Linked DNA regions of Mus musculus. The protein of the gene in region 2 purifies or fractionates together with the protein of the main gene of each other region. This does not show direct contact. Links are inferred from orthologs where the notes say so. Each region holds a gene or a part of one and is shown on either strand. Other genes may lie near its edges. The genes, in order: Arhgef2, Mark2 and Fuca1.

The links.
Region 1: the proteins of Mark2 (region 2) and Arhgef2 purify together in Homo sapiens (affinity purification with western blotting; 3 studies listed by BioGRID and IntAct, with this or other methods). This does not show direct contact. The link is inferred for Mus musculus from reciprocal best matches to the Homo sapiens genes MARK2 and ARHGEF2.
Region 3: the proteins of Mark2 (region 2) and Fuca1 purify together in Homo sapiens (affinity purification with mass spectrometry; 3 studies listed by BioGRID and IntAct, counting the BioPlex papers as one, with this or other methods). This does not show direct contact. The link is inferred for Mus musculus from reciprocal best matches to the Homo sapiens genes MARK2 and FUCA1.

Annotation. Positions count from the first base shown.
Region 1 is NC_000069.6:88,625,712-88,635,567, forward strand, and holds part of Arhgef2 (rho guanine nucleotide exchange factor 2), read left to right. Parts: intron 1-1,026; exon of another isoform or gene 1,027-3,813; coding exon of another isoform or gene 3,814-3,852; intron 3,853-4,075; coding exon 4,076-4,220; intron 4,221-6,199; coding exon 6,200-6,267; intron 6,268-6,564; coding exon 6,565-6,628; intron 6,629-7,201; coding exon 7,202-7,331; intron 7,332-7,546; coding exon 7,547-7,656; intron 7,657-7,788; coding exon 7,789-7,935; intron 7,936-8,698; coding exon 8,699-8,949; intron 8,950-9,271; coding exon 9,272-9,397; intron 9,398-9,856. UniProt on the Homo sapiens protein: Activates Rho-GTPases by promoting the exchange of GDP for GTP.
Region 2 is NC_000085.6:7,335,362-7,346,263, reverse strand, and holds the start of Mark2 (serine/threonine-protein kinase MARK2), read left to right. Parts: upstream 1-4,403; 5' UTR 4,404-5,042; coding exon 5,043-5,096; intron 5,097-10,902. UniProt on the Homo sapiens protein: Serine/threonine-protein kinase. Involved in cell polarity and microtubule dynamics regulation. Phosphorylates CRTC2/TORC2, DCX, HDAC7, KIF13B, MAP2, MAP4 and RAB11FIP2. Phosphorylates the microtubule-associated protein MAPT/TAU.
Region 3 is NC_000070.6:135,926,974-135,937,775, forward strand, and holds part of Fuca1 (tissue alpha-L-fucosidase precursor), read left to right. Parts: intron 1-2,925; coding exon 2,926-3,031; intron 3,032-5,925; coding exon 5,926-6,126; intron 6,127-7,716; coding exon 7,717-7,907; intron 7,908-9,949; coding exon 9,950-10,049; intron 10,050-10,802. UniProt on the Homo sapiens protein: Alpha-L-fucosidase is responsible for hydrolyzing the alpha-1,6-linked fucose joined to the reducing-end N-acetylglucosamine of the carbohydrate moieties of glycoproteins.

The DNA.
Region 1 (9,856 bases), on a different chromosome or scaffold from region 2:
AGCAGTCAGTGCTCTCGACCGCTGAGCCATCTCTCCAGCCCCATTCCTTGCTTTTTTACCTCCCTTCCCCAGCACACACTGGGTGCCCGCTGTACATGGGTGAGGCTTTTGGGTTTCAGGAGGAAAGTTACCTTGAACTCCTGATCCTTCTGCCCCTCATCTCGCCAAGTGCTGGCGCTACAGGAGCGTGCCAAAACACCTAAGCTTGTTCCGTTTGATAGTCAGGTAACCCCACGTGTAACATTAGCCTGGACAGTGCCCGTGAGCAGGCAAGACTTCCGAGATCTTTGAAGAAGAAGCAAGAAGACATCCAGAGCTGGACAGCAGAGGGTTGGGTCAAGCAGAAAGGGCCCTGAGCCCTAAGGTGGATGTTTGGACTGAGGAATGACTGGTCTTTCTTGCCCCTGTGGTGCTAGGATTAAATCCAGTGCTTCATATCTATTAGACCCTTGAACCCTGAGCAACATCCCCTGCCCTTTTTAGACATATTCTTTTAAGATAGTGTCTTGCTAAGTAGCCCAGGTTGGCTTTGAACTGACCATGCTCCTACCTCAGCCTTCCCAGTGTCTGGGCTTCCTGGGGTGTACACCATCCCTAGCTACGATTGCTTCTTCTCCTGGACATACTGTGACATGGAGGAGGTGAAGAGCTGTTCTGCGTGCTGTGTGTAAACGGGAGACAGTGAATCAATCCAGCCAAACCCCCACCCCCCAGTAAGCAGTTCCCATGTTAGTCCATTCTCCACAGCTTGAGCCCTGGGGCGGGCTCAGTCCAGCTATCTCTGGGACAATAGTGCTAGGCCGTGCCAGGGCCGGATCGCTGGTGCTGGGATGTGCTGTTGCTGCTGCGGCTGCTGCCCTCTGCTTGCCCACCTAGAGCAGGGGTCACTTGGAGAGAGGGTGAGTTTTGGTTAGGTGGAAGGCAAGGACTAGAGAAGCTGGGTCTGTGTGGGCAGTGGTGCAAGGAGGGAAAGGGCTATCAGAGCCCTTTCTGGTCCCAGTCTCTTGGCCACTCCCAACAGAATTGTCCAGGCAGGTAGTACAGAGAGCTGTGCGGTAGGAACCTATCACAGCTTTAGAATATGTCTGCAGGCACACTGTTCTTTCTGGAGTGGCCCTTGCCAGGCGCGGTGTTCTGGTGTCTGCTAGTCTCCTTTTACTTACTTGTTTGTTTTTATTTAAATTTGTCATAAATATTCATACTCTAGATTGGTGTCCTAGAGAAGCGTGGGAGGGCAGAGAGGTGAAGAGAGAGAGAGAGGGAGAGAGAGAGAGCATGTGGCAAGAGATATTTAGGCTTGGCCTTTGAAGTCCAAGGAGGTGAATTTGAGGTGACTTTGATCTTAAAAAACAAAAACAAAAACAAACAATTAAAGAGTTCCCACAAGGCAGCTGGAGTGCCAAGCAGTGGGAGACTTTCCTATTGATTCAGGTAGGTAGGAGCCACTAGAGCAGGGAATGCTGAAATGGCCCATACTAGAGTCTGCAGGAGGAGTGTCCCTCAGAGGAGGAGCCAGCCGCAGGGACAGGGAGGGAGGACCATCCCTTAGAGAAGTAGATGCATGGCTGAGAGAGACGGTGCAGTGTATGGAGGAGTGTCTGCAGCAAGAGCGGGGACAGGAGAGAGGACCAAGATAAGGAGAGAAGAGAGCAGGCCAGATAAAAAGAAGAGCCCTGACTTGCACGCCTGCAAGTCCTGAACTTTGGTGACTGAGGCAGGAGGATTACCTTTAGTTCAAGGCTAGACAGGGCTTCATAGTGAGACCCTGACTCAAAACAAAATAAATCAAAAAGTTACCAAATGAAACCCCAACAGTATAGTTAGGGGAGAAAGGAAAAATGTATGGCGGAGGTGGTAAAGTGAAGGGGGGACATAAGGAGGTGATCTCTGTCTAGACCACTGGGCTCCATCATCCTCAGGCCACCCCAAGGCCCAGGGCTCTCTGGTCCATTGCTCTTTGGCCACCCCAAGGCCCAGGGCTCTGTGGTCCACTGCTCTCCAGCCCCTGGACAGTTGACTCAGCACCTTTCTGCTTCCCCTTTTCCCATCCTCCCCTCTAACTGCCAGCATGGTTAGTGGCGTAGGCAGGACTGCTCATCCAGGCCCAGGCTGAATGCTTTTCACTGAATTGTGACTTTTTGTCCTAGGGTCCCAGCCAGTGTCCTCAACTTGGGGCTCCTACTCTCAGCCCCAGTCACCTGAATGATGTCCTTGTCTCCTAACATTTTTTCCCCCTTAGAGATAAGGTTTCTCTGTGCAGCTCTGGCTTTCCTCTCCTGGAACTTACTATGTAGACCAGGCTGCCCTCGAAGTCTGAGATTTGCGAGACTCTGCCACCCAAATGCTAGTTTTTTTTTTTTTTAAAGATTTATTTATTGTTATATGTAAGTACACTGTAGCTGTTTTCAGACAGACCAGAGAACAGAGAAGGGTGTCAGATCTCATTACAGATGGTTGTGAGCCACCATGTGGTTGCTGGGATTTGAACTCAGGACCTTTGGAAAAGCAGTCAGTGCTCCTAACCGCCGAGCCGTCTCTCCAGCCCCAAATGCTAGGTTTAAAGACGAGCTTCACTCCTGCCTGGCTTGTCCTCTAACATCTTTAATTAATTAACTTAACTAATTACTTTAGATACAGGGTCTCACTGTGACATTCTGACTGGCTTGGAATTTGCTACGTAGGCTAGTGTGGCCTCAGACTCAGAGATCGGCCTGCCTCTCCTCCCCAGTGCTGGGATTAAAGCCGTGCCCCACTGTTCCATTTATCCTGCCTTTTCTGACTTATTGGTTCCGTGCCATGGTTTGGACGTGGGTGTCAGTTTGTTCTTCTGCCGTGTGGGACCTGGGAATCGACCAGGGTCATCGGGTGCCTTTGCTTTTCTTTTAAGCTGTCTTCTAACCTGTTTGTTTTGTGTTGTGTTTTGTTTTTGATCGTAGTGGTGGTGTTTTGAGATAGGGCCTCATATCACTATATAGCCAAGGATGTCCTTGAACTCCCAAGCTTCCTGCCTCCACCTCAGTGCTGTTTGTGCATGAGTGTGTGCGCATGCACATACACGTTGTTGTTGTTGTTGTTGTTTTGAGACAGTTGTTCAGTAGCCCAGGCTTGCTGCAATAGTCTTAGTCTTCCTGTCTTAGTCAGGAGTTAACAGGCATGGGCTACCACAGCTGACATTGTCTTTTCACCTTTTCTGGCTCTTGGAGCTTGGGGAGGAACAGTAAAGAAGTCAAGGACTCTGACAGAAGCTGGAGGAGGTAGGGGAAGCTTAAAGGCAAAGGTAAACATAGACCTCGGGGTAAGAAGGTACTCAAGAGTGCTGCAGGCCTAGCGCTGTGATCTGGAGTTCACAGGGTTTCTTGGGTACTGAGCCCCCACCTCTGTACGTACACACACACACACACACACACACACACACACACACACTCTGCTAGTGAGGGATCTCTTTTGGGCTTTGACTGAGTGTAAGTAGAAGAGTTAGAGGGTTCGGATCCTGGCCTCTGAGTTGATGGTGTCTGAAGAGGCATCCTGGCCCCCACCCCCAGCCAATCTAATAGGGGAATCTCCTGCTTTGCCATCCCTGCTCCCCCATGACTGCTCTGAAGACAGCAGCTCCAACACCCGTTGTCATGGTTATGAGAGGAGCTAACTCCCATAGATTGGAAAGCGCTGGTGAGCTGGCACCCTCTGCTTCACTGGTCCTCCCCTCTCTCTGCGCATCTTCCCCCGGCACAGAGAAATCGTACAGCAGCCCGGGGGCGAGCAGAGCTAAGGCTGGAAGGTGGAGTGAGGACGCAGAGCTCTAGAGCTAGGGAGATGAGTGGGAACAGGAGGCAGCCCAGTCGCCGGGGTCAGGTAGGTCAGAGGCCTCGAAGCCTCAGGGACTGACTACCCAGGGCCTGGTCATGCCTGGACAGCCACCTCGGACACCCGTGCATAGTGGGTTATGCTTTAGCAATTGCTGTCACTTCAGCCTCTCTAGGCAGGCATTTCTCCCATGCCTCTGCTGTTTATCTGGACGCCAGGTACCTGACTGAGTGTCTTCTGACCTCACTTCTGTCTCTCAATCTTTCCACAGACCCGGGAAAAGGAGAAGATGAAGGAAGCTAAAGATGCCCGCTATACCAACGGCCACCTCTTCACCACCATCTCCGTCTCCGGCATGACCATGTGCTATGCCTGTAACAAGAGCATCACAGCCAAGGAAGCCCTCATTTGTCCTAGTAAGTTTTTGGTCCCAAAGGTGACCTAGCCTCAGTTGCCATCGACCTCTAGTTCTCCCGTCCGTCTGTCCTTCCCACCCTGGATCCTTTAAAGGACTCTATTTTCCGGATCCCAGCCGGGCTCAAGTGTCATGCTCAGGTGCTTGGTCTCCTGCCACCCTTGCCCACACTGGGTGGTGGCTATTGGAATGTGGCGTAAGCTGGTTGGTCTCTTGGGTGTGGGGTGACAGAGGCTGTTGTTACTCTCCATGCAGCTGTCGCTGGCTTGGGTATCCCCCTCGCCTCTTGAACAGCTGCTGACAGTTCGGAGAACTGCCTGGAGAATGAGCAGGAATGTGTGTTATAATGCAGGGTGGGAGAGGAGTAGGGAGCGGAGGGAAGCTGCCAGCCTGCAGCTGCCTCTGCCCATCTCCCTGGACAGCTTAGACGCGAGGACTCCTTGCCCCTGCCTTTCTGTTGCATGTGAGGGAAAAGAAGTCTGCAGATTCAAGGACAGGCTGGGATTATCCATTTCTTTATCCCTGATAAAGAAATTCAGCAGAGACCTGAATGATGGAGGGAAGGGCTCAAAACTCCTAATCTTGCCCATGTCTAACCTTTATCCTGCCCCAGGAAGGAGACAGAGGAATTCCGACCTCCTTAGGATACCATTGCAGAGGGCTCTAGCTCCGCCCTGCCCCACCCCCACCCCCACCCCCATCCCCATGCCTTCCCTGGAGTAGACTCGAGTGTTGTACCTTGATACTGACCAACACAACTCCACTCTAGCCTCCTAATCCCTTTGGGATGTTGGAAAGGAATCCCAGATAGAACCAGGGAGGCCTACCCCCCTCAAAAAGAACCAGAGAGGCCTGCCCCCCCCACTTCTTTACCACTTGATCTAGAGCCAAAAGGATGAGGAGGTAACCCCAATCTAGATCCCTCTAGAGACCTGGCAAAATACTCAATCCGGAAGCTTGTTGCCAGGGGAACTGGGGAGGTGGGTAGCACTATTTTGAGAGCAGGTGGAAAGCGGGGGCTCGATTCAGAGACACTAGGTGTTGTGGGTAGGGGAAGGGAGCTCCAGGGGGTGGGCACTGCCACAGCCTGGCTTCTGTCGGCCCCTTCTGCCCCACCCTGTGTGCCTTGTATTTGTGGAAGTGAGCGTGGTGTTGGGCATTGTCTGCCTGAGTTAGCAGAGTTTCCTGTGGTGTTTGGGGGTGGGGTGGGGGGAGCTGTAGAGCTGAGGGCCTGTCAGGAAGGGAACAGCCATGGTCCCGAGTGCAGGCTCAGCTAGTTCAGCTACTCCTTTTTCCTTTCCTACTTGATGGAGAGGTGGGGTGGGGGATGGGGGGAAGCAGATGGAGTGTGGGAGCTGTAGTTTGCCTTACTGGGGAACAGAACTTCCCAGGCCTACAAGAGAAAAGGCCCCCAGAATGGAGTTAATGCAGAAGGCTGCCAAGATGGGAAAGGGAAGGGCCACTGGTCCAGACTTTGAAGCAGTAGGCAGGAGCCTCTGGCATATCCATGGAGGAGTATGGATTTTAGATCTGAGCACATCTAAGTGTAGCTGGGTGACCTAGGTAAGCAAGCAGCGTTCAGAGCAGATTCTTCATCTGTGAAGTGAGTGGGGAGCTTTCCTCGGAGACCACTGTGAGTTCTGGCTCTCTGTCAGCTTCTGGTCTTGGGAGCCCCCGTGATCATCTGCAGTGTCATCTCCTTTGTGCTCTTTGCTCTTCCCAAGCAGCAGACACACCTTTCTTCCCTCTGGTCCTCCGGGCTGTAGTATTTCCCAACCTCCTGGATGGTCCACACCAGACCCCTCTCACTTCAGTACCTGCTTGAAGGAAGGGGGGAGGACACACATGTGATAATGACCAACAACTCTGGGAGAGTGTCTACAAGCTATATGGCCTGGGGAGTTGGGTGTTTACATGTGGGTGTGTCACCCCTAGTACCACCCCAGCCCTCCCTTACCCTCTCTACCCCCACCCTGCCAGCATGTAACGTGACCATCCACAACCGCTGTAAAGACACCCTGGCCAACTGTACCAAGGTCAAGCAGAAGGTGAGCTAGATGGCAGGGTGGGCAGAGGGCTTGCGGGGAGGGCATCGCCATCCCTGCGGGCCTTTCCACACATCCCTCACCCTCTGTCCCTCTCCTTGCCGTGGGGCATCCCAGACCCTCGGCCTGTGTAAACACAGCCCTGCCACACTAGTTTACCTATATCCCGATGTCCTTAACTGCGGGGTCAACTTTCTCCCAAGAGGGCGGATGCCAGGATCTGGCTTGTTCTGGGTGTGTGGCAGGGCAGTCTTTGGGTGACAGCTGTTTGTGGTGTCTCTCTTCTGCTCTGTGTCACAGCAACAGAAAGCTGCACTGCTGAGGAACAACACTGCTTTGCAGTCTGTCTCCCTTCGAAGTAAGAGTGAGTTCACAGGGCCACCAAGCCACTGAGCCCACGGGCTCTGCTGCCCCCCTGAGGTCACACCCAGACACACAAAGCTCCTTTTGGAAGTGCCTTGGGAGGGAGTGCCATAAAGGATGGTCCTTATTCTGGGGCTTAGTATGTAGACAGGCTAGTCCACATAGGGATGAGGGACAAGGATGGCAGGTTACTCGAGCCTTGCCACATGCTGTTACCTATACTTCATTTGGGGACTGAGTGTCCACTGTCAGTTCAGGAAAGCGTGATGCCCAGGTTCCTTCTCCCCAGCTTGGATCACTGCAGACAGGTCTCACATTTCCAGCCTTCAGTTTGCTTATAGGCTTGGCTGGGTTGGGGTGGGGGTGGGAAGAACATATAAGAACAGGCTCTTAATTCATGGTGGTGGCTTGCACAGTGGACAGTAGCATTACCTTGATGGGCCTTGCCAATTTTCTTTGCCTCTTAGGGAGCTGAGGACAGGCCAGACAGTTCCCCATGGCTCCCCGTGAGGAGCCTGGGAGAGCAAAGAGCCAGGGAATTAAGCTTTCTCCTGCTTGGCCTCCTTCCTTACAGCGACCACCAGAGAGCGGCCAACGTCTGCCATTTACCCTTCCGACAGCTTCCGGCAGTCCCTCCTGGGTTCTCGGCGGGGCCTCTCCTCCTTATCTTTGGCCAAAAGTGTTTCCACTACCAACATTGCTGGGTGAGCTTCTGTTTGGGGCAGAGGGGGCCTGGCAGGAGAGAGTATAGCCCATGAGAGCGCTGTGTCTTCCCCTGAGTTCAGAGCTGGAGACAGATACGAGAAAGATAAGTTCCAGCACAGAATAGCTATCCCTAGGAGCCCAAGCTTGGGTCCCAACCTGGGAAGGGACCTCCTGCCCGAGTTGGGGTGATGCAGATGGCCTCCACTTCCTTCAGACATTTCAATGATGAGTCTCCTCTGGGGCTGCGTCAGATCCTCTCCCAGTCCACAGACTCCCTCAACATGCGGAACCGAACCCTGTCCGTGGAATCCCTTATTGATGAAGGTGAGCAGACCCGGCCCTGGGGAGAATCGTGTTGGCAAGACGGTGGTGTGAGAAGCCTGGGATGGGAAGGAAGAGGATGTAGGGATGGGAGAGCTAGGCTCTGAGGTGCCAGCGGCACTGATGCACACGCAGGTGTAGAAGTGTTCTACAATGAGCTGATGAGCGACTTTGAGATGGATGAGAAGGACTTTGAGGCGGATTCTTGGAGCCTTGCCGTGGACAGCAGCTTCCTGCAGCAGCACAAAAAGGAAGTGATGAAGAAGCAAGATGTCATCTATGGTATGCTAAGGCCACTTTGGTTCCCCTGCACCTGTCTTTTAATCCAGGCTTTGCTTACCTGAGTCTTCTCCCTGCCACCTACCTGTTGGGACACCCTCATCCCATCCTTGGCCTCCATGTCCCCAGCTAGTACCAACTTGTTCCCTGTACACCTACTTCTTGGTGCCGTTGGCAATTTTGTTTTTTTTGTTTTGTTTTGTTTTGTTTTTGTTTTCGGTTTTTCGAGACAGGGTTTCTCTGTGTAGCCCTGGCTGTCCTGGAACTCACTTTGTAGACCAGGCTAGCCTCGAACTCAGAAATCCGCCTGCCTCTGCCTTCCAAGTGCTGGGATTAAAAGCGTGCGCCACCACCGCCCAGCACTGTTGACAATTTTGTAATTTTATATTTAAGAGATTAGAGTCTCAGCATGTAGGCCAGGCTGGTCTCAAACTCTCGGTCCTCCTGCCTCAGCCTCCGGAGTTCTGAGATTTTGAGTACATACCACTGCACCCAGCTCCCAATGCTCTACTCATATCTCTTGCTCAAGTCAGTCCTCGGTCTTCATCCTGCCTCTCCCATGGCCAACACTGTTCCGGGAACTGGGAAGCCTACACCTCTAACACACAGAACTCTTGCCCTGAAAGAGTGTACTGCTTGAAATGACAAGGAAGTGGTCTGAGACGACAGCCACACAAGCGTTAACTTGGAAGAGATCCACATAAGAATCCCATGAGTTGTGCCCGAGGTAGAGTACGGCAGGAACAAATGTCCCTTTGTCCCGTAGAGCTGATCCAGACAGAGCTGCACCACGTGAGAACCTTGAAGATTATGACCCGCCTCTTTCGCACTGGGATGCTGGAAGAGTTGCAGATGGAGCCAGAAGTGGTCCAGGGCCTGTTCCCCTGCGTGGATGAACTCAGTGACATTCACACACGTTTCCTTAATCAGCTTCTGGAACGGCGGCGCCAGGCTCTATGTCCAGGCAGCACCCGGAACTTTGTCATCCATCGTTTGGGTGACTTGCTCATCAGTCAGGTAGGAGAAGACACACTTGAGCCCGTTCATGAATGCGTGTGAGCGTGTGGAGGTCAGGAGGCAGTCCTGGGAGTTGGTTCTTCCCCATCATGTGAGTCCCAGGATTTGAATTCAGGTTGCAAGGCTTGCTAGTAAGGGCCATCTTACTGGCCTAGGACTAAACAGTTCTTAGCTCTAGCCAAACTCTGGTGATCAGAAGGGAAGCCAAGCAGGGGACAACTGGAGAGGAGGAAGCAGCCTAACTGAAGGCCAGAGGTGTGCTGAGGGCTGAGGTGCGGCTCTGTAGGAAATGCTCACCTAGTCTTGCTCTCCCGACTTCCAGTTCTCAGGTTCCAATGCTGAGCAGATGCGCAAGACCTACTCAGAGTTCTGCAGCCGCCACACCAAGGCCTTAAAGCTCTATAAGGAGCTGTATGCTCGAGACAAACGCTTCCAACAGTTCATCCGGGTGAGCAAGGACCTCCAAGGCCAAGCCCAGCCTTCTCACGGCTCAAACCCAAACTCTCCCATCCCCAGGGTAGCGTATGGGAGCTGTGTGCTTATACAGGGCAGCCCCTCGAGACTCTTGTGGACTGCGCTCCTAGATCTCTTGTTTGTTGAGACATGGCCTCTCTATGCTGCCCTGGCTGTCATGGAACTCACTATATAGATGTGGCTGGCCTCAAAACTCAAAACCTGCCTTCCTGTACTGCTATTAAAGGCATGTGACACTACACCCAGCTTACTCTTAGATCAACGGCCACCCCTTACTGGGCAAGAGGATGTTGGTCTAGTTTTCATACCATCATTGGTTTGCTCGTCACCACAGATCTGTGGCATTCTCTTACTCATTTCCCAGAAGCTGTGCCTAGGCCAACATGGGGCGGATGCCAGGGTGGGCCAGCTTCAGAGCCTGGGCTCCAGCCTT
Region 2 (10,902 bases):
ATATACATTGATGCACACAACACACACACACACACACACACACACACACACACACACACTAAAATAGGAGTCTTCTTTGCTAAAACTTTTTTTTTTTTCATAAGAATGACAACTTTAGCTGGGCAGTGGTGGCGCATGCCTCTGATCCCAGCATTTGAGAGGCAGAGGCAGGCGGATTTCTGAGTTTGAGGCCAGCCTGGTCTACTGAGTGAGTTCCAGGACAGCCAGGGCTACACAGAGAAATCCTGTCTCGAAAAAACAAACAAACAAATGACAACTTTACATCAAATCAAGTCCAGAGGCCTTCCTAGAACAGGGCTGCATGTGACTACATAGGCAAATGGCCACAAAGTGAGCCTTGCCTTAAGCCTACTGGGGAGTTGAGGACGGTGTTCTAGCCCAGTACAAATGTCACGGGAATTAGACTTGATATTCTGCTGTGTCCAGAGGCTGGATCAGAAGGAGTCTGGGTGGGCCAACTGGTTTAACAGCTTGTGAGAGGAGGAGAAGTGACCAAGAGGAAGATCAGGGCTTGAGTGGCATCTTGATGAAGCAGAGTCATCTAGGGTCAGGAGAAGCTCCCTGGATGCCTCTGCCTTTACCTTTCAGTGTCCTCTCTCCCTGCTCTTCAGACTTTGGTCCTAGAAGTGACGTCTAGCACAGGCTCGGCAATGTGACTCCCTTTGGCCACCAGAGGGCAGATCATTCTCATGTTTGAATTTGGGGTGGGGGCGTGGTGTGGCCTCCATCCCTTTCCCCATCACTCTACAGCATTGCTTTCCCAGCTTCTTTCTCAGAGGTGGTGCTGGTGTGGAGCTGGTGGGGGGCATGGGGAGGCTTCCTGGAGTCCTGTGGATTCCTTTGCCTTACAGAATGCCTCCTTCCTCCTCCCTGCACCTGCACAGCTCTCACTGTGAGCAATTCTTGGGTGCCACTCAGCAATTCGGTCAGTCCTTTCCCTATGACCCTGGGAGCTCTCTCAGTTTCTTCACATTCATGGACCCACACTCTATCCCTCCTGTTGAGTTTAGGGTGAGGGTCAGGGGCATAGTTCCAGCTTCTATGGAACCATGGGCAGGGATAACTTGAAACAGAAGTCAGTCTGAGTTGAGCTATTACCTCTGCTTGGTGGGACTCCAACAGTGTGTTGTCATCTACAAAATCCATGCTTGAAAACTATAATCAGGGCTGGAGAGATGGCTCAGTGGTTAAAAGCACTCACTGCTCTTCCAGAGGTCCCGAGTTCAAATCCCAGCAACCACATGGTGACTCACAACCATCTGTAATGGGATCTGATACCCTCTTCTAGTGTGTCTGAACAAGGACAGTATGTAGTTACATAAAATAAATAAAACTTATATAAGAAAAAGAAAACTATAATCAAGATACAGTTAAAATGATACTTACAAAAGTCTCGTAATGTTTTAAGCAAGTCCATGGCTTTATGTTGGGTACAGAACGGACAGATTTGGTAAACTCCAGAGGAAAGGGAAGAGTGGGCTCTGGTCCTCCATGGACTTCTGTTAAGAGCTGGGAGCTTTCCAAAGCTGAGAAAGACCTCAGAGTTGTTGAATTCAACAAACCCACTTATCAACAGGGAGACTGAGGCCCAGAAAAGGAAAAAGACATCTTCAAGAGGTCTGGTCCTTTCATTGCACTATTCTGAGGTTTTGCCATCCTCCCTCCTACCCTCATACCAAGACAGGGACTTACTATGTAACACAGGCCATCTCGAACCTCACTATGTAGAGCAGGCTGACCTTGAACCAACAGAAATCCACCTCCATCTGCCTCCAAGTGCTAGGATTAAAAGCATGCCACCTTGCCCTGCTGGGGAATGTGTTTTACATTTTAGTTTTAGTTTTTAAACCTTTTTTATTTTTAGAGTTTTACCTGCTAGCCTGCATACCCACTATGCACATGTAGTGTTCATGGAGGCCAGAAGAGCTTTGTGAGCCCCCATGGGACCAAACCCATGTCCTCTGAAAGAGCAGCAAGCTTGGAACTACTGAGCCACCTCACCATCTACTTGTCTTTGTGGTTTGGTTTGGTTTTAGAGATGGGTGTTTACTGTGTAGCCCTGCTTGTCCTGGAACTCATTATGTAGGCCAGGCTGGCCTCGAACCATCTTTTCTTCTGCCTTTGTTTCTCTCTCTCTCTCTCTCTCTCTTTTAAAAAAGATTTTATTTATTTATTTATTTATTTATTTATTTATTTATTTATTTATTATATGTAAGCACACTGTAGCTATCTTCAGACACTCCAGAAGAGGGCATCATCTTGTTATGGATGGTTGTGAGCCACCATGTGGTTGCTGGGATTTGAACTCTGGACCTTCAGAAGAGCAGTCGGTGCTCTTACCCACTGAGCCATCTCGCCAACCCCCTTTGCTTCTCTCTAGTGCTAAGATTACAGGGGCAGACCACCATACCCAGCTGGAGGAATCCTTTTTGGTTGTCTGTTTTATTTTATTTTATTTTTCGTTCTAGAGATTGACCCCAGGGCCTCCTTCATGGCATGGGAGTTAAAGCTCTCCCACTATCCTACAACCCCAGGAATCCTTATCGTCAACAAGTGCCTATTCTTTTGCCATGAGTTTGTCTTAGAAGGGAGATTTGAAATGAAAATGAAAATGAAAATGAAATGGTCTCTCCAAGCCGGGCGTAGTGGCGCACGCCTTTAATCCCAGCACTTGGGGGGCAGAGGCAGGCGGATTTCTGAGTTCAAGGCCAGCCTGGTCTACAAAGTGAGCTCTAGGACAGCCAGGGCTACACAGAGAAACCCTGTTTCAAAAAACCAAAAAAAAAAAAAAGAGATGGTCTCTCCAGACTTAAACATTGTAGAATATTTTAAAAGTCATTTAGGGCTGGGCATGGCAGTGCACACTTGCAATCAAAGTGGTGAGGAAATGAAGGCCGGGGATCAGTAGTTCAACCATCCTTGGTTACATATCATGGCCAGCCTGGGCTACTTAATACCCTGTTTCCAAAAAAAGCAAAAACAAAAGAACAACAAAAACTTGGATGGACAGGGTGGTTGGTGCACACCTTTAATCCCAGCCCTTGGGAAGCAGAGGCAGCTCCAGGAGTTCTTGGTCAGTCTGGTCTACAGTGGGAAACTGTGTCATAGAATCGAAACTAACAGCAGAAAGGAAATGTTATGTGTAATTTAAAGAAATATTTATTTGTATGTGCCTATGTTTGTGCTTTTATGGGTTTATGTGTATCACTGGCATGCGGGTGCTGGTAGAGGCCAGAGGGCATCATTTCCCCTGGAATTGAAGTTACAAGGGGTAGGGAGCCATCTGATGTGGATGCTGGGACCTGACCAGATTCTCTGGAAAATAGTACAGGCTCTGAATGAGCCAGCATTCTGACCTATGTTGTAGTATTTATCTATTTAACTTTTGTGTATATGAGTGTTTAGCCTGTATGTACGTCTGTGCAACCTAGTGGAAGCCAGAAGGTGTCAAACCACCTAGAACTAGTTAGACAGTTGTTAACCACCATATGGGTGCTGGGTACTAAACCTCAGTCCTCTGGGAGAGCAACCAGTCCTTCCTCTTGACTTCTGAACCATCTCTCCAACTCATTTTATATATATACATATACATACATATGTATATATATTATACACACACACATATATACATATATAATTACATTTTTATTTAGTGTATAGGGTAGCATGCTCATGGAACAATGTTTTAGACTTGGTTCTCCCCTTTCACTATGTGGATCCCCATGGATCAAACTGAGTTATTTTGCTGGCCTTTGTTATGTGATTCCATGCCAAGATCACGCAAGCATTTTTCTCAATACTGAAAAAAATACTGTACCTTAAAGGTGTGTTAAGTTTCAAGGACGCTGACCCAGTGCCTGTCCGACCTGGTGTCTGTCCCAGGCTTTACAGAGGAATGAGGGGACTGACTCAATATAAGGCTGACATAGACTTCTAGAAGCCAAGATAGTCGCAAGATGGGCGGGTGTGCAAAGCAGGAGACAGGCAATAGGATGACACTACACTTGGCAGTTGACTCACACGTTGATAGCAAGGTTGAGCGATAAAGTGGGTTTTATGAGCTAAACATGCGGATGGGAAGTTGGCGTTAGGCTCAAAGGACATCAGTTGTAGGAACAGCTAATAGCGGTATTTTCTAAGTCAAACAACAGGTACAGGTGACCCACGCCTGTTCAAGGTTTGAAAATAACCGAAAACTGACGGAAAGAAACGAAGAGATAGATTCTTAGCCTCGGCAGCTCTCGGGTGTTGCCGGAAATGGCTGACTACCGCTCTCGGCCGAGCGACGGAACGGGGGCGTGGCCGGTTTAGCACACGCGGAGCCTCTTCGGCTGTTTCCGGAAACTGCCGAAAGCTTGCTCCAAGTGGGCGGAGAAAGGCCGGTAGGCGTGGCTGCTGGTTGGCTCTGGAGGTGCGGGGAGTCTCTTCGTGGATTTCCGTAAACAGAGCCGAACCTCGGTCTTCGGAATCTAGGAGGTGCGCGCGTCCCCGGGGATTACCTTCTTCGGTAGTTTCCGGAATTCACCCATCGTCTGGGCCGAGAGGAAAAGGCTCTTCCCCCTCCCGTTCCTAGTTGTTTCGGATGTTTCCGGCTCTTGCCGGCGGAAAGAGCCGAGGGCTGGCGGTGGTGGCGGCCATGTTGGGAGCAGCAGGTCCGGCGGCGGCTGCCTGTGTGTCGGGCGCGGAGCAGTGCGGCTGAGGGCAGGGGAGGAGCGAGGCAGGCGGCCGGCTGCGGCGGTTGAGAGTAGGCGGAGCGGCGCGGCCGGGCCGAAAGGCGGCACAACCCAGCCGGGGGTCGGGGGGGGGGGTGCGGTCCGGAGCCGCTCGGAGCCGGCGAGGCCTAGCCCGAGCGGTGCATCACCGGGCTGGCGTGAGCCATCGCCCGGCCTCCCCGCACCCCCGGCCGGGGCCCATGCAGCGGGTGCTCCTGCTGTGAGAAGCCCCGCCCGGCCGGGCTCCTAGCCTTCCCTTCCCTATCTTCCTCCAAGCTTCTCCATTCCCTCCCCTGAGATACCGGCGCCATGTCCAGCGCTCGGACCCCCCTACCCACGCTGAACGAAAGGGACACGGAGCAGGTAAGGAGCCCTCAGGGCTCCCCTAATTCTGTGACTGGGCCCCTGCACCTTACGGAGGCTCCCTCCCTCAGTTCTCCTCGTGCTCCTGCTTTCTTCTACAAGCCTAGGCTGTCATCTGGCCCTGGGTTCCAGCCCTTCACATCCCTCTTCCGAATCCTGACCTGGGACCCACGTCGTCCTGACTGAACTGCACACTTGTATTTCTGCCAAACGCCCCTCGCCTCTCACCGCCCTCCTGCGCTCTTCCGTGCTATCTCCCCAGCTTCCCCCTCTCTTCCCTTTTCTCTCAGGGGCCTTTCTGGTCTTCCTCCACCCACGCTTAAAGCAGCCACCTTCCTGCTCCTCGAATAATACCCCGCGATTTGCCGCGGATTGTTGCCCACCTCTTTCTGCATCTCTCTAGCTTTGTACCCTCTCTACCCGCACCGGCTCTCACAATCCTCGGTTTTCTCCCTCAAGAGTCCGTGTCTCGGGAGTGTGTTCTCGGTCCCTTTCCCCTTTCACTTCCCCAGCTTTTTCTATCCTCCTTTCCCGTTCCAAATTGGGCTCTCCCTGTTGCTTGCAACCCACCAGCTCCACCCTCGTCACCTTTCCAAATCGTTCGCCTACTCCTTGCTCATCACTTTCCCTTCTTTTCGGCAGGAGCTCCCAGGCTCCTGGCACTGGCATGTGTCGCTTCCGTGTTTCCCATACAGCTGTCATGCGCATAGTTTTCCCACAGGTTGCCTTTGGGGTTCCAGTCACCGCTCCCTTCAGAGTCTTTGGATCACTCCTGTTCTCTTCCCCCTGGGGTTTGGCATTTAAGTCCTTGGGCCTCCTGTCTGAATGCTCTTCCAGATTATCCCTGGGCTCTCCTCTACCGTGGGAAAGTCAGTGTTTTAGTCTGGCTGTATTAACATAACCTGTTGCTCACTCTTTTGCGGGCTGCATCAGCTGCATCAGTCCCTACTTTACTGCCTACTTACACTGCAACACAAATTCCGATACTGTCTTTCCAAACTGGTGGCTGTCACTTCTCATAGTATCATAGTATCTTTCTTGTTTGCTACTTCCTATTGCTCAACCTTCCCCCATCTCTCTTACAATACCTCCTTAATCAGTGCTGCCTTTCCTGTCCTAATGGGTCTCCTCCTCCCCTCCCAGTCTGTTTACAGCTTGTATGCTCTGTCCATTCCCTTTCTCTTAGCTAGCCTTTGCGGGTCCCAGGGTGTATGCTAACTGCTTATGCTGCGCACCAGCTCCTGGGCTGGCCTATGCTCTCCCTTTCTCATCCTGGCAATCACTGCTTTTTGTCACCCAAGCTTTTGCCTTTTCTGTGTCGTCCTCTCACCTATGAGCCATTGCTTCCACTTCACACTTCTCTCCTTTGTTTCACTGTCTCTAGTGTCCCTCTCTGCCTGCCTTTTGGACAGTCCCTTGCCTGTCACATGTTTCTGGGTGAATTTTACTAAACACAAACTCGTTGGAAAGGAGCAGGCTTTACTCAGCACACCCTGGTGTTTCCCTCCTGTTCCCTGTTTTCTCTGTAGCCAGGTAGGCTCGCGATGCTGCTGTGTTTGCTTAGCATCAACTTCCTTCTTTGAGAACCCTCTTTATCTCTTTCCTGTGCTTTGCTGCTGTTACTCTCCTGCTGTCTGTACCTGGAGCTAAAGAAGCATCCGGACAGTTTTCTGACACGATGGACCCATAACACATAGGGGCTGTGTGCTCTTGGGCCAGAGCAGGGGGTTGAGAGGGAGGGATGGTTGATTGATTTCATGCCTGGTCTGGCAGCTAGTCCTGCCTGGGACAGAGATCTTCAGAAACTGAGGAGCTTGGTCTGTGTTGCACAGTCCCTTGCTTGCCAGCAGTGTCTCTTGGGAAACACTTTGTCCAGGCTCTTCTGAGGCTGGTCCGTGCATCCTCCTTTCTCCTACTTCTCGCAGTAGCTAGACCTCAGTTAACTGGAGAACTTTCCCAGACTTGGTTATGAGCAGGGAGAAGGAGGCCAAGTGACTGACTGGTACTTTCAGGCATGTGGGGCGTGGTTGACCTGCCTGTTCCCCAGAGAGGCAGGCTGTGGAGGCACCGTGTTGGGCAGAGTGGCCTCGGTGTGGTTTCTTTGACTGTTTACTAAGTGTAAATGCACTATTGGTCTTCTGTGTGCTCAGATGTGCTCCACACAGTATTGGGTCATGAAGTTGAGGTTTGATGCATGTACACTGATTTCAGGAGAGTGGTAATCAGTGGCCAGTTTGGCACGTGAGCTGCTTCGTGATAACTTGGTCCAGAGCAGAGGCTGCCTTGTCATTCTGCTCCTCTTAGGCTCCATTTCTGTTCTTGGTGGACCGAGCTGCATGCAGTCAGTTCCTGATTCTCCACTCACACTGTCAGCTTCATGTTCTGCCACCGCCTTCGAAAAAACTTGGACTTGGAAAAGCTAGGTGCACACCCTTCCAGGTGCCTAGCTGTTTCTCTTTGTTTCTTGTGCTGCTGATTTGCTCAGAGCCTTGTTCTTGATAGACACGTTATACTCCCCAGCCCAACCCTGTGTGCTTTAGAAACAAAAACAAAAAGCAAGAGTCAGTTCAACATCCACCTTCTTCAGAGTAGACCCGGCTACCAGGTTGAAACTAAATACCTTCTCCTCAGTCCCATTGCACATAGTGAAGCCATTGTGGAAGCTCAGTCATTGCAGTCACCTCAGTGTTAGGAAATAAAAAGCAAAGAATTTGGCTGGGCAGGTCCCTCTCCACCGTCACCTTATTTAGATTTAAATTAGTTAAGCTGGTTTTACCAGAGAATAAGTAAGCAAACTTCTGTGGATGTTTCCAATCTCTTCCTTTTCTCCTTCTTTCTTTAAAATTGTGGCTGATAAGCTGTTTCTAGGAGCTCTTTGATCACTTCTGAAACACACAGAACATGTTGAAGCATAAAAATAAACCTTATGTTGCAGAAGATTGCCTGTTTGCTGTCAACTCTGCTTTTAACAGTGAAAGTAGATAAAAGAAAGCCAAGCTCTGTCTTGAAGATAATTTTGGTGACACCTGATTTCAGATGTGCACTATCACCAGAGATGACTTCCTTTTGCAGGATTCTGACCTGGGGCTAGTGGTTTTGGGGTTTCTAAAGTCTGTGAGCTGAGCTTTCTGTGAGCTGCTTTTCCAAATGCCTCTGCTGGCCTGGAGGCTTCGCAGCCTTGAAAGTAATCAGCAAGATGACTGTTTGTCTTCCAGCCAGCAGCAGCCTTAACAGTCAAGTGTGGAGAAGGGTACAACTTCCAGAGTTCACCTACCCCAGGCTAGCGCTTTCCCTAATTTCTGGGGGAGGGGACACATAGCTTCATAACCTGGAAACAGAGTATCTGATAGAAAACAGGAGCCTTTTGCTTCCCATCAGTCAAATGACAGTTCTGCCCCCAACTCTTCTAGAGAGTGGGTGGCAGAATATATTCTCAAAGAGGAGTCTGGAAGATTGAAGAAGAGGACAAATCTAAGTTATAGAATCCTATAAAAACATACTGCTCAGGGCTGACAAAATGGCTTAATGGGTAAGGGCACTTGCCACAAAGCCTGATGACCTGAGCTGGATCCCTGAGACTCACATACTTGGTGGAAAAGCTGAACCTCACTCTGGCAAAATACTAACAAACACACATGCTCGTTCTCATTCTCTCTCTCCCTCTCTCCCTCTCTCCCCACTTCCTCCCTCCTTCTCCCTCTCTCCCTCTCTCTCCCTTTCTGTCTCTCTGTGTCTAAATAAATGTGGTGGTGGTGGTGGTTGATAAGGATAACAGCAGCAACAAAAAGCCTCATACCCAGCAGTATAGAGCTGAGGCAGGCTCAGATCCAAGTTCTGTTTGAGCTACAGGATAAACTCAAGGCTAGCAACTTAGTGAGACTCTGTCTCTCCAGATCCAAAGTAAAAAGACTAGCTATAATTTAGTGGTGTAGCATTTGCCTAACAAGCCAATGGCTGAAGGTTTGCTTTCCATTAAGGTGGATGTGAGAACGGGTTTGGTGGAAGAATTAAGCCATCCCATAGACACCTTGTGAGATTCCAGTTTCCTTTTGGTCAACACTGGTCTGAATACTTCATTTTTGATGATGTGGGATTCTGTGATTTGACTCTTGATGATGAGGTGGGGCTCTGCCTTCAGGGTGTGGATGTGAGTGAATGTTAGACCTCACAGTTTAATCTGCTGGACCTTAGAGAGTCTATGTGAGGCTTGTTAGAGTAATGTCTCTCTGAAACTTGACAGTGACGCTGTACTTTTTGACCTTAAAAGTAATTGTAGAGTGAATTATAATAATGCTTCTCCATTCTGAGGATTTGGGTAGCTAGCTACACAGATGATACAAGTAAGCGGTTGGAAGTTGGCCTGCTTTGGATTGAAACCAAGTTTGCATAGGGGTAGGTGCATCTTTTATTCTGTGACAATAGTTTGGGCTGAAAATCTTGGGCATACATGTCTTGGCCTAGTTGATACTTATGAGGTAAAAAGAGATGGAGAACCTTGTTTGCCTGAGAGGCTTGTACAGTGAGATCTCTCAGGAGTCAGCATTTCTCTGGCTGATGGTCTCCCTTTGGAAGAACAGCCAGATTCTCAAAGGGCATTTGACTAAGACTAGCTCCAGGCCTTCATGAACTGTTTTCTCATGGAGCACTTAGCTACCTAACTGGCATTTCTCTTCCCTCAGGAGCTTCTACAATGGCCCTACATATGTATTATGTTGACTTGAATGAATATTTTATGCTTAGAATGCAGTCAGGCCTCAGACTTTGTGGCACATTATTGACAAGTGGGTTGGGGGCTGGGTACCATCTTTGGCCCCGTGATAGTGTCTGTGCTAAATGGACTCCCCCCAGCAGCACTTTGAAGCCCGTTAATGGGTTGGGATGTGGTAACTTCAGCAGATGGAAAGGGCCAGGAGGCAGCCTGGCCACCTAAGCCTTAGGCTGCCTGGTCAAGGTTCCTGCTGTACCCAGGCTCAGCTGCTTCCCTCTACTTGGTTAAGTTGGAAGCCCAGCTGCCTGGCCTCTGTGCTGAGGGGTATGTGTGGAGGGCTGGCCTTGTTCCCTTCTGCTTATGTTGCTGCTGCCAGGTTTGATGCTTTCCTATCAAAGCAAAAACTCAGAGCTATATGGAAAGGTTGGTGTTTCAGCTTGGCCTTTCCTTGGAATCTCAGCAAGATGACAAACAGGATAGGTGACTGAGTTTCCTTCTCTTGATGGGAGATTCCAGTATTTGTCGTTTTGCATTTGAAGCTTGGGTTCTCTAGGCTTTCTCCCAGCCTTCATCAAACATGAGTGTGAGTCACTGACGTGTTAGCTGCGTGCTTTCCCCTTCTGTTTCAGCACAAGGAAGAAGAATAAGCCTTTACAAACCTGGGGGAGGAACTCACCCTTTCCCCATGCTGGCACTGGAGGCTGCAGGCTATCCCTGCTTAACCTAGCAGAGTGTCACTGCCCCCACCACAACCTTTTGGGATAGCCATTGAATACCATCGTTATTTACTTGTTTGTTTGTTTGTCTGTTTGTTTTAGACATGGTTTCTCTGTATACACTTGGCTGTCCTGGAACTCACTCTGTAGAACTGGCTAGCTTCAACCCCATAGAGATCCTCCTGCCTCAGCTCTTCATTCATTTTTTAATTTAAAAAATTATTTTTATATCCAGGCATGGTAGCACATACCTTCAATCCCAGTGGAGGCAGGTATCTTTGAGTTTGAGGCCAGCCTGGTCTACATAGCAAGTTCTAGGACAGCCAGGACTACATAGAGAGACCCTGTCTCCAACAAACGAAAACAAAAATTATTAGTATTT
Region 3 (10,802 bases), on a different chromosome or scaffold from region 2:
GGCCCATCCCCCACCACGCCAGGTTCTTGATGCTTTGTCACCAAGTTGTTGCTTATTCAGGAATGTCTCAGGAAGACAGGTTTCTGAACCTGTCTTCCTGAGACAGGTAGCAGTGTCTTGGAGATAAGCTCAAAGGTGGCAGAACAATTGGCCTATCTAGGTCAGAAGACTCCACCCTGAGTGGTCTCCTTAACAGTGGCAGAACAGGTCTGAGCCAGCCTGCTCAAGGCTGGGGGAGGCTACGCGCCCTAACTCTCACTTTATATATTTTATTTTTGTTATTATGTTTGAATTTCTCTCTTTCTTTGGTTTTTCAAGATAAGGTTTCTCTGTGTATCTCTGACTATCTTGAAAATCACTATGTAGCCCAAACTGGCTTCAAACTCAGAGCTCCACCTGCCTTTTTGGTTTTTCGAGACAGGGTTTCTCTGTGTGGCCCTGGCTGTCCTGGAACTCACTTTGTAGACCAGGCTGGCCTGGAACTCAGAAATCGCCTGCCTCTGCCTCCCGAGTGCTGGGATTAAAGGCGTGTGCTTTTCTTTTTATGGTAAGATCTCACTTTGTAGTCCTTGTTGGTGCTCCCGCTTCAGCCTCTGAAATGTGAGGATTTCAGGCTGAGCCTCCATTCTCAGCTGGCTGGCTGGCTGGTTGGTTAGTTTGTTTTTGAGACAGGTCTTCCTTTGTAACCTAGGATGGCCTCTAATTTCAAGCATCCCCTGAGTGATGGGATTACAGCCATGAGCCACTGTCCCAAACTTCTAGCCAGTCCCCTTGCATCTGGTTTTAGTCAGATGACTGTCAGGACAGTTGTAAAACACCTGTAGAGGGCAGGACAAGTGCAGGTGTCTGGAGTTCTGAAATCAAGTTTAGTTTTTGGGTTGTTGTTGTTTTTCTTCTTTCCTCTCTCCTCCCTCTATAGTCTTATCTAACCTTGGCTGACCTCACATCTATAGCAATCCTGATGGCTTGGGATTTTCTTCGTGCTGGAATTATAGGCCTGTGCCAGTGCCCCTAGCTTTTTTCTTTTGTAAAGTTTGTGGCTTAGAGTAACTTGCTTAGTCTCTCCCTTGCTTTCTTCTTTTTTTAATAATATTTATTTACTTATTAATTATATATGTAAGTAGCTGTCTTCAGACACACCAGAAGAGGGCGTCAGATCCCATTACAGATGGTTGTGAGCCACCATGTGGTTGCTGGGATTTGAACTCAGGACCTTTGGAAGAGCAGTCTTTAAGTGCTCTTACCCACTGAGCCATCTTGCCAGCCCCCTTGCTTTCTTCTTTATCCCTGAACTGGGGTTAGAAATCACAGGAGCTGACAAGGTGATGGGCATAGAGCCCCAGGGTGGCCTCTGATTTGCAATAACTCAGGTTCAGGTTCCCAAATGCTACCACACCTAGCTCTTTTTTTTATTTTCTTGGTCCCTGACAAGACATGGGTCTTTCAACTTGCTGAGCAGTGCTCTGCCACTGAGCCACAGTCACGTTTGATTACGATGTGTCCGTGAGCACGTATGCCTTATGAGCACGCATGTGGAGGAGGTCAGAGGTCAGCCTGCGGAAGTTGGTTCTCTCCTTCCAGGAGGATTCTGGGGGTCAGGCTTGGTCATCAGGCTTGGCAGCAGAAGCTTTGCCAGCTCAAGGCAAGCCTCCTGGCCTGCCCAAGCACCAACCTCTTTGTCAAAGCTTAATTATTATTTATGTGTTGTTCGTGTACACCATGGGCAGCAGGTGCCTGAGGAAACCAAAGAGCATCAAATTCCCTGAAATAAGCAGTTGGGAGCCGCCATGACGTTGGGAAGCAAACCCAATTCTCTGCGAGCAGTAGCAGGCTCGCTCACCCCCTGAGGTGACTGGAGCCCTGGGAGCAGCCCCCCTAATTAGTTACTGATTATATGTAGTTCCTTTTCTAAAGGGGCAGCGAAGGAGATTAGGGGAAATGTGCCTTAGTACCGCAGTTTATTATTATTATTACTATTGCTATTATTACTATGATTATTACCCTTTAGTTTATTTGGGACGTGTGTGCATGCATGTGCCATGGTGTGCATGCAGAGGTCAGAAGACCACTTGCAGAGTCAGTGTGCCCGGGACTGAACTCAGGTTGTGAGACTTGGCAAGCAGGCGCCTTTACACACTGAGCCAGTTCACCAGCCCCTGCAGCTCTCCTTTTAATTAAATTAAATTGTTACTTTTTGGTTTTGGTTTTTGGTTTTTGGTTTTGGTTTGTTTTGGTTTGTTTTTCTCGAGACAGGGTATCACTATGTAGCCCTGGCTGTCCTGGAACTCACTCTGTAGACCAGGCTGGCCTCGAACTCAGAAATTCCCCTGCCTCTGCTTCCCGAGTGCTGGGATTAAAGGCGTGCGCCACCACACCCGGCCCTAAAATCGTTACTTTAGCTGTTTGAGTGTTTTGCCTGCATGTTTGTCTATGCTCTCCATGTACGCCTGGTGCCAACAGAGGCCAGAAAGTGGCATCAGATCCCCAGGGGAACTGAAGGATGGGTGATTGTGAACCTCCATTGTGGGTGTGGGAAATCAGACGAGAGTCTCAACTTCTAGACGAGCAGCCCGTTCTCTTCCAGAGCCTGAGCCATCCACTGCTGACCCCGCACTACAGAGCCACCTCTCCACACCCTGTCTCTGAGGCTCTTTTAGACTGTGGTTGTGTTAGCAAAAAAAAAAAAAAAAAGATTTCTTATCTCTTTAGTTTCTGCATTGTGATTTTTATGGTCCTTTCCAATCAAGAGACTTCCTTCTGACAAGCTAGGAGTGGAACTCATGACCTCACATGTGATAGGCAAGTGCTCTCCCTCAGAGCCAGACTCCCAGTTCTAATTTGTAAATATTTATTGTAATACCTGTCCGTAAGACTGGACTAGATACAGATTCTGATGGCAAACTGTTCTCGTCCCATGTGTTCCAGCTACAAGCCTGACCTGATCTGGTCCGACGGGGAGTGGGAGTGTCCTGACACGTACTGGAACTCCACCAGCTTCCTTGCTTGGCTCTACAACGATAGCCCTGTCAAGGTAGGTGGTTATCAACTACCTTATGAATTACAGGTTCTGAAAAAAAAAAAAAAGAGTGTGAATGAGCACGCTGATACTTACCCATAGTCTCAGCTGGGGTAGGTAGGCTGTAGCAGGGGCAGTCCTAGCAATCGTGCCTCCGCTCTCCAAGAGCTGGGATTATTATGGGTGTGAGGCACCATTCCTAGCTTTATGCTGGGTTTTATTTATTTATTTATTTATTTATTTAGATTTATTTATTTATTATATGTAAGTACAGTGTGGCTGTCTTCAGACACTCCAAAAAAGGGCATCAGATTTCGTTAGGGATGGTTCTGAGCCACCATGTGGTTGCTGAGAATTGAACTCTGGACCTTCGGAAGAGCAGTCAGTGCTCTTAACCACTGAGCCATCTCACCAGCCCTATGCTGGGTTTTGTAGGGTGCTTGGGTAACTGAGCCTTCCCTGTAACTGGCCAGTACACAGGCTGCCAGTTTACACCTTGTGTTATGGACCTTGGACTGAATGACGGAGGTCTTGATCTCTGATAGAAAATGCCAAAGATTTTACAGGTTCTTGGTTTATAGATTTTAAAGAAAGATCTAAGTATAAAGCAGGTCGGGCCGGGCGGTGGTGGCGCACGCCTTTGATCTCAGCATCTGGAGGTAGAAGCAGACAGATCTCTTTGAGTTTCAGGCCAGTCTGGTCTACAGAGTGAGTTCTAGGACAGCCAGAACCACACAGAAATTCTGTTTCAAAAAATGAGAGAGAGGGGGGAGCTTGGTAGCTGGAGAAATAGCTTAGTTGGTGGTAGAGAGGTGCTTCGCATGCACCGGCCTGGGTGTAATCAGAGACACCAAAACCGGGAGCTGGAGAGATGGCTCAGTGGTTAAGAGCACCGACTGCTCTTCGATGGTCCTGAGTTCAAATCCCAGCCACCACATGGTGGCTCACAACCATCTGTAATGGAATCTGACGCCCTGAAGACAGCTACAGTGTACTTACATATAAGGAAGAGAGAGAGAGAGAGAGAGAGAGAGAGAGAGAGAGAGAGAGAGAGAGAAGCACTAAAACTTAGCTTGGATGAAGGTGGCCTGGTGGAGTCCTGTCTGTGGGGGTCGTATTGAGAAGTCATTACTAAACTCAGAAAATGGGAAGGAGAGAAAGAAGAGACCCCTGAGTGGTGAGTGCTGGTGGAGGTGGCTCTCATGCTGGAGACAGACTCACTCACTCACTCACGGGAGGGCAGGCCAACAGCAGGGCAAGCCTGGCTTCCAGGGGTCCCCCGAGTCTCTGGGGACTCCCAGATGTGCAGTTCATCCCCAGGTAGTTAACACAGACGGGATGCCATGGTCTAAATTGTCCACATCTGTCTCTGCTCAGCGTTTAAAGGGAAAACACTCTGTAACTCACCATGGCACCACTGTCTCTGCCTCAGTTATGTACCGTTATGAGTGAGCAGTTGATGGCCATCATTCAGACTTTGAGATGGACCAGATGTGGTGGTGCACGCCTTTAACCCCAGCACTCAGGAGACAGGTGGATAGATCTCTATGAGTTTGAGGCCAGCCTGGTCTACCCAGTGTGTTCCCAGGCTAGCCATGGCTGCATAGTAAGACTCTTATCTCAAGAAACAAATTAAACAGCTGGGTGGGATGGCATACAACGTTGATCCCAGCACTGAGGAGGTAGAGGCAGGTGGATCTCTATGAGTCAGAGGCCAGCATGTCTACAAATCGAGTTCCAGGACAGCCAGGACTACCCAGAGAGGTAGGTGCCTTTCCTCCGGGCTGGGCCTTCATGGGGCTGGGTCGTATAGTGCATGGGATGACAGCCCCATTAAGGAGAATCACAAAAGAAAAAAAAAAACATAAGCAAAGATGCAGTGTCGGGAAGGAAGCAAATGCCAATCACATTAAAAATAAAAATAAAAAAAATGACAGCCAGGGCTGGGGAGAGGGCTCAGAGCAGAGGCTCTTTGAGTTCCTTACCCTGCATGCTCTCACTAGGTGAATCACAACCACCTGGAACTACAGCACAAGGGCAGCTGATGCCCTCTTCTGGCCTTCTTGTGCACTGACATACATGCAGGCAAAACACTCGCACAAGTTTTTTAATTGTTTATTATATGTGTATGAATGTTTGCCTGTGTAAGTTTATGAGTAATGTGTGTAGGCAAAACCCCATAGAAGCCAGAACGCGGCACCAGATCTCCTGTCAAAGCATCAAGCACTCTTAACCATTGCGCCATCTCAAATGAGTGCTGGAGAGGCCTCAGGCTTACGAATTAAGTGCTTTACCCTCTGAGCCATCTCCTGGGCCACAGGCACTCTCTCTATATACACACTTAGTCCATGCATCCCTCTGCTGGGTCCCTGGGCTCGGGCACTGCTGACGATAGGGGCTGGATGCTGCTTTGGTTTTTGGTGATTTCATGTGCATTGGAATTTGCCTCCATGTATATCTGGGGGGAGGGTTGTGTGAGTTACAGACAGCTCTCTTCTTTTTTCTTTTTCTTTCCTTTTTTTTTTTTTTTTTTTTTTTTTTTTTTGAGCTGCCATGTGAGTGCTAGGAATTGAACCTGGGTCCTCTAGAAAAACAGCCAGTGTTCTTACCCACCAAGCCATCTCTCCAGCCCTGGTTGCTGCTTTGTAGTAGGCACTGTCTTCAATACTGTAGGACATTTCTCAGCATCTCTGGTCTCTCTCACTGGGTAGCAGCACGGCCCTCACTGGGACAGCCAAAAAACGTCTAGAGTCCCGCATGTGCTCTGTAGAGCAAGCGAGCACCAGGGGAAAGCACTCGTGTAGTCCTGCTCTTCCTCCTTCCAAACACACTGTTGCCGGAGGGAGCTGCGTCGCATAAAGGAGCCAGGCGGTGCTGTGCCGATGACCCCGTTCTCCTCCCTCCTTTAGGATGAGGTGATAGTGAATGACCGGTGGGGCCAGAACTGCTCCTGTCATCATGGAGGGTACTACAACTGTCAAGACAAATACAAGCCACAGAGCTTGCCAGACCACAAGTGGGAGATGTGCACCAGCATGGACAGAGCATCCTGGGGCTATCGAAAAGACATGACCATGTCGACCATCGCCAAGGAAAATGAAATCATCGAGGTAAGAGCATTGCCATAGCTGTTCGTCTGTCTTTGAGCTGCCCTCTGACCAGGAGTCCAGTGGCTCCAGCCTGCTCGGGCCACAGTACACGGAGACTGTCTTCAGGTTCTAATGGGGGGAACAGACACCATGACCAAGGCAACTCTTATAAGGACAACATTTAATTGGGGCTGGCTTACAGGTTCAGAGGTTCAGTCCATTATCATCAAGGTGGGAGCATAACAGCATCCAGGCAGGCATGGTGCAGGAGGAGCTGAGAGTTCTACATCTTGTTCTGAAGGCAAGCAGGAGAAGACTGACTGTCACGTGGTAGGAGGAGGGTCTCATTGCCCACCCCATCGGTGACACACTCCTTTCATCGAGGCCACAGCTGCTCCAGCAAGACCAAAGCTCTCCTAAGGACATTGTCCCTATCACTGAGGAAGGGGTTGGAATTTGAAAACTTGAAACTATGTCTCCTTATTTGTTTGGGGTGGGGGCAAGTGTGTGCCATGTTGTATATGCAGAGGTCAGAGGTCAGCTTGAGAGTCACTTCTCTCCTTCCACCCTGAGTCCCGAGGATCAAACTTACGTCACTCACATTGGTGGCAAGGGACTTCACTGTCTGAGGTCATTGCCTTCGACATCTTCTCAGCCTCAGGGGAAGCTCTTTCTACAGAGCTGTTCTTCCAGAACTTTCTCTTGTCTTTGTGGAGTGTGTGTGTGTGTGTGTACACAGGTAACATAACATGTGCTAATGTTTGTTTTGATGTGTTCACAAGTGTGTTTGTGACACCCAGCACAACACCCAGAGTCTTTTGGCCATTGCTGGTTTTTGTGTGTCTTGTTTTGAACCTGAGTTCTGAGCTCAGGTCTTCTTGTTCATAAAGCAAGCACGCCCCCTCTGGGCCATCGTTTCCCAGCCCCTTCCCAGGGGTGTTTCAGTTCGCATGTGAGTGGTTTCCATTCCTTACTGGGTGATTCAGTAGGCGGGACAGCTACACTGAAGAGTACTCAGCCGGCTGCTTCGGTATGGAATAAAGTGCCATGTGTAGCTGCAGCTACGTAAAATCAAGAGTAGGAGGAGACACCAAAAGTCAATGGAAGTTTCCTTAGGTGTTCTCTAATGGGCTCTCGCCTTTAAATTTTTCTGTATGTAAAATTAGTCCTGGACTGCCTTGAGCAACAGTTGTTAGCGGTCACAGCAGATACCTGCTCTCCAGTGTCTTCAGAATGTCTCTTTATGGTATGTATTCTTTGTTGAGGCCGAGTCTTCTGGGAGTCCCTGCTGGCCTCAAATTTGGTAGCCAAGGCTAGCCTTGAACTCCTGGTCGTCTTGCCTCTTCCCTCCTCAGAGATTACAGGCATGGGCTAGCACGCCCAGCTTCCCTTTCATCGGTTTTGCCGAAGGTGCATATAATCTGTACTTAAACAACATTTGCTGCCGTACCCAGCTCTAAGGTGTAACTCACCCCCCCCCCATTTCCCCTTTGTGGTGCTAAGGATTGAAGCCAGGGATTTTTCTCTTAGCATTCCCTAATGTCTGTGTGTTCTAGACACTGCCAGGCTTGGTAGTCACACCTCAGTTTTTATTGTTTCTGCCTTCTTTAGGAATTGGTTCAGACGGTAAGTTTGGGAGGCAACTATCTTCTCAACATTGGACCAACTAAAGATGGTCTGATCGTCCCCATCTTCCAAGAAAGGCTTCTTGCTGTCGGCAAGTGGCTGCAGATCAACGGGGAGGCCATCTATGCCTCCAAACCCTGGAGGGTGCAGTCGGAAAAGAACAAGACGGTTGTGTGGTGAGCCCTGCCTTCTCTTGTGGTCAGGAGAGTGACTGATAATAGCCATGGTTCAGTTCAGAGTGATAGTAAAGCTAAAGTCAAAGAATTAGTAACAAGTGATAGCTGATAGATAGATACATACATACATACATTATAGATACATAGATTATAGGTAGATTGATTATAGATTATAGATAGATGGCAAAATATTAAACTGAGTACTTTAAACACCCAACCAAAATCACTTGGGGAAGCCCTTAAGGCTGGAGTTCCTGACAGGGAGTCCTGGGTAGAGCAGAGTGAGACTTCTCACTAAACAAGTAAGACAATACAGTGAGTGATGTCATCACTCTGAGGCTCACGAACACCAGCAGAAATCAACTGGGGAAGCTGGGGGAGTCAGCTGGAGTTTCAAGTGTTCCTTGTCTCCGCGGATGAGCTGCCCATGGCTGAGCCTCTGGCTTCCTGACCCGCCACCCCCCCCCACACACACACACACACGGGTGCTTTGTATCAGGGACAATGAGAGCCCTGTTGGAGATGGCTAACCTAGCTGTTCTCAAAAACTCAGGGGTTTTGCTTCTGATCTGTTCTCTTTCCGTTCCTGACGTGGAGTTAGGGGGCAGCCCAGCCCCTGATAAGGGGCCTCAGGACACTTTGAGACAAATATGCTTGGGTCCAAAATTCGGTGGAAGGCGCCCTGCTTCCAGAGCCAGCTTCTAAGTGAGCTCAAACCACACAGGACAGCCTATCAGTGTTGTACTTCATACTTCCGATGTGGGCCAGCATTGGCCTGTGGCTGTTGTGGACCTGGCACATCCTCAGGTCCTTGCCTGGCTACTTGCCTCTTGCTGTAAGATTCATGTCCCAGCTGGGTTCTGTCTCCACCCACCCTGTGCAGAGCTCCACCCTAAATTTTTCCTATTTGTACACGGACTTCTAGATCTAGTTATTTGACCCTGGACCTCAGTTTTTTCAACTGCAAAGTGTGTGATGGTACTTGGCTTCCTAGACTCGATTTGAAGACTAGTTACCATCATCTGTGTGAGGACCCCGCGGAGCGCCAGGCCTGAGCAGGGAGCCTGGTGCCACACCAGAGTGCCTTTGTTCTTCTCCCCTATGGATGATTTTCTGTGAGCTGGTTGTTATCCTGTCTTTGAACACGGTGACCTCTCGGGCCAGGGGATGTGTCACCTTTGTGTCACCCTTGTGTGTTTCACTTGTTTCACCCTCTGTTGTTTTCTCGTGGATCTGGAGTTGAGAAGGTTTCAATACCAAGTTCTGTGGCGTCGGCTCCTAATGAGTACCTTTCCTATGTGTAGGTCATGGTTTCACCATGCTGCGTAGGCTGTCCCCCACCTCCTGGGGACAAGCTGTCCTCCTGCCTCAGCCTCCTTAGTAGCTGGGATTCTATGTCTGCATCACCACACCCAGCAGAAGGTTTTTGTTTTTGTTTTTTCGGTTTTTCAAGACAGGGTTTCTCTGTGTAGCCCTGGCTGTCCTGGGACATACTTTGTAGACCAGGCTGGCCTCGAACTCAGAAATTCACCTGCCTCTGCCTCCCAAGTGCTGGGATTAAAGGCGTGCACCACCACAGCCCAGCTTGTTGTTTGTTTTTGAGACAGCATGTAACTGTGTGTAGACAGGAAGGACTTGAACTCACAGATATCTATGTACCTGCATCTACTTCCTGAATGGTGCATGGACCACCTTTAATGGCTACCACTAGGCTGTCTTTCTTTTCTTTCTCTTCTTTTTTGGGAGAAAGGGGGAGGCAGCAAGCTTAAGGCTAGTGAGGCATCAGGGAAAGCTCTAGAAAATAAGTTGCCCAAGGGTTAATTTTAATTTTTCAACAAACCTTAACAAAACCCAGTGAAGGGATAATAGAAAATCCCAATGAATTTTCCAGACCCTTTCCTTCCCGAGCACCTTACTGCACTCCCTAGTGGTGATGACAAACACCAGGGCTTTGATGGGTGAGCTATCTAACTGGGGTGTGGGGGAATGTTAGGGATAACAGCTGGACTCAGACGTGGGCAGTGATGTCTCTTTGTTCCCAGGTACACTACTAAAAACGCAACTGTTTACGCCACTTTCCTGTACTGGCCAGAAAATGGGATCGTGAACCTCAAATCCCCCAAAACGACCTCGGCCACAAAGGTAAGGAGACTCTGTCAGTCCCTCCTGCCACAGACCTGCCCGGGCCTTCACAGGACCCAGCACTGCACGAAGGCCAGAGACTGATGATCTCTGGTCTTGTCACTCTCACTCCCTCTACTTCCGTCCTCAGTATAAATACTGTCTCTAAAAGCTACCTCATACAACCAGCAGGCAGAACTATTAGAGAAGGGTAATTGATCACATGATTTTCTAAATACTTTTACATTCCAATAAGCTCATAGTAAGTTTACGGCAACAATTCAAGTCATAAATCGATAAGACTTGAGGTCTAACGGCGGAATTGTCTACATGTCCTCCCATGAAGGCTAGTGTCTCACTAAGCATTACCTGTCACTAGCCCCTAAGTTCATTAATGTCACGCGTTAGCACAGTTTTGTCAAGAGACAAATTATCTGCCTTGTGTCTTATTATTTTGAAGGTTTGGATAGATAAACTAGTCAGTAGTTGCTGTTCTCGCACCTAGAATAAATTCTCCGTGCCCAGTTTGTGACCTGTACTTACCAGATAATAGTGTCACAGTTACCAGATAATAGTGTCACAGCTAACCTGGAAGGAATGTTGTCCGCGATCGTAAATTTGTTCCACGCTTGCTTTTTTCTTCTAGTACAATTAGCCCATGACACATGAAGATTTACCGAGCTCTAAGTGCAGCTTTTATTCTATAGAGGACTTGAAATTACTTATATCAACTTAGAAATCCTGCAAAATCATTAGGAATTATGGAGTCATTAA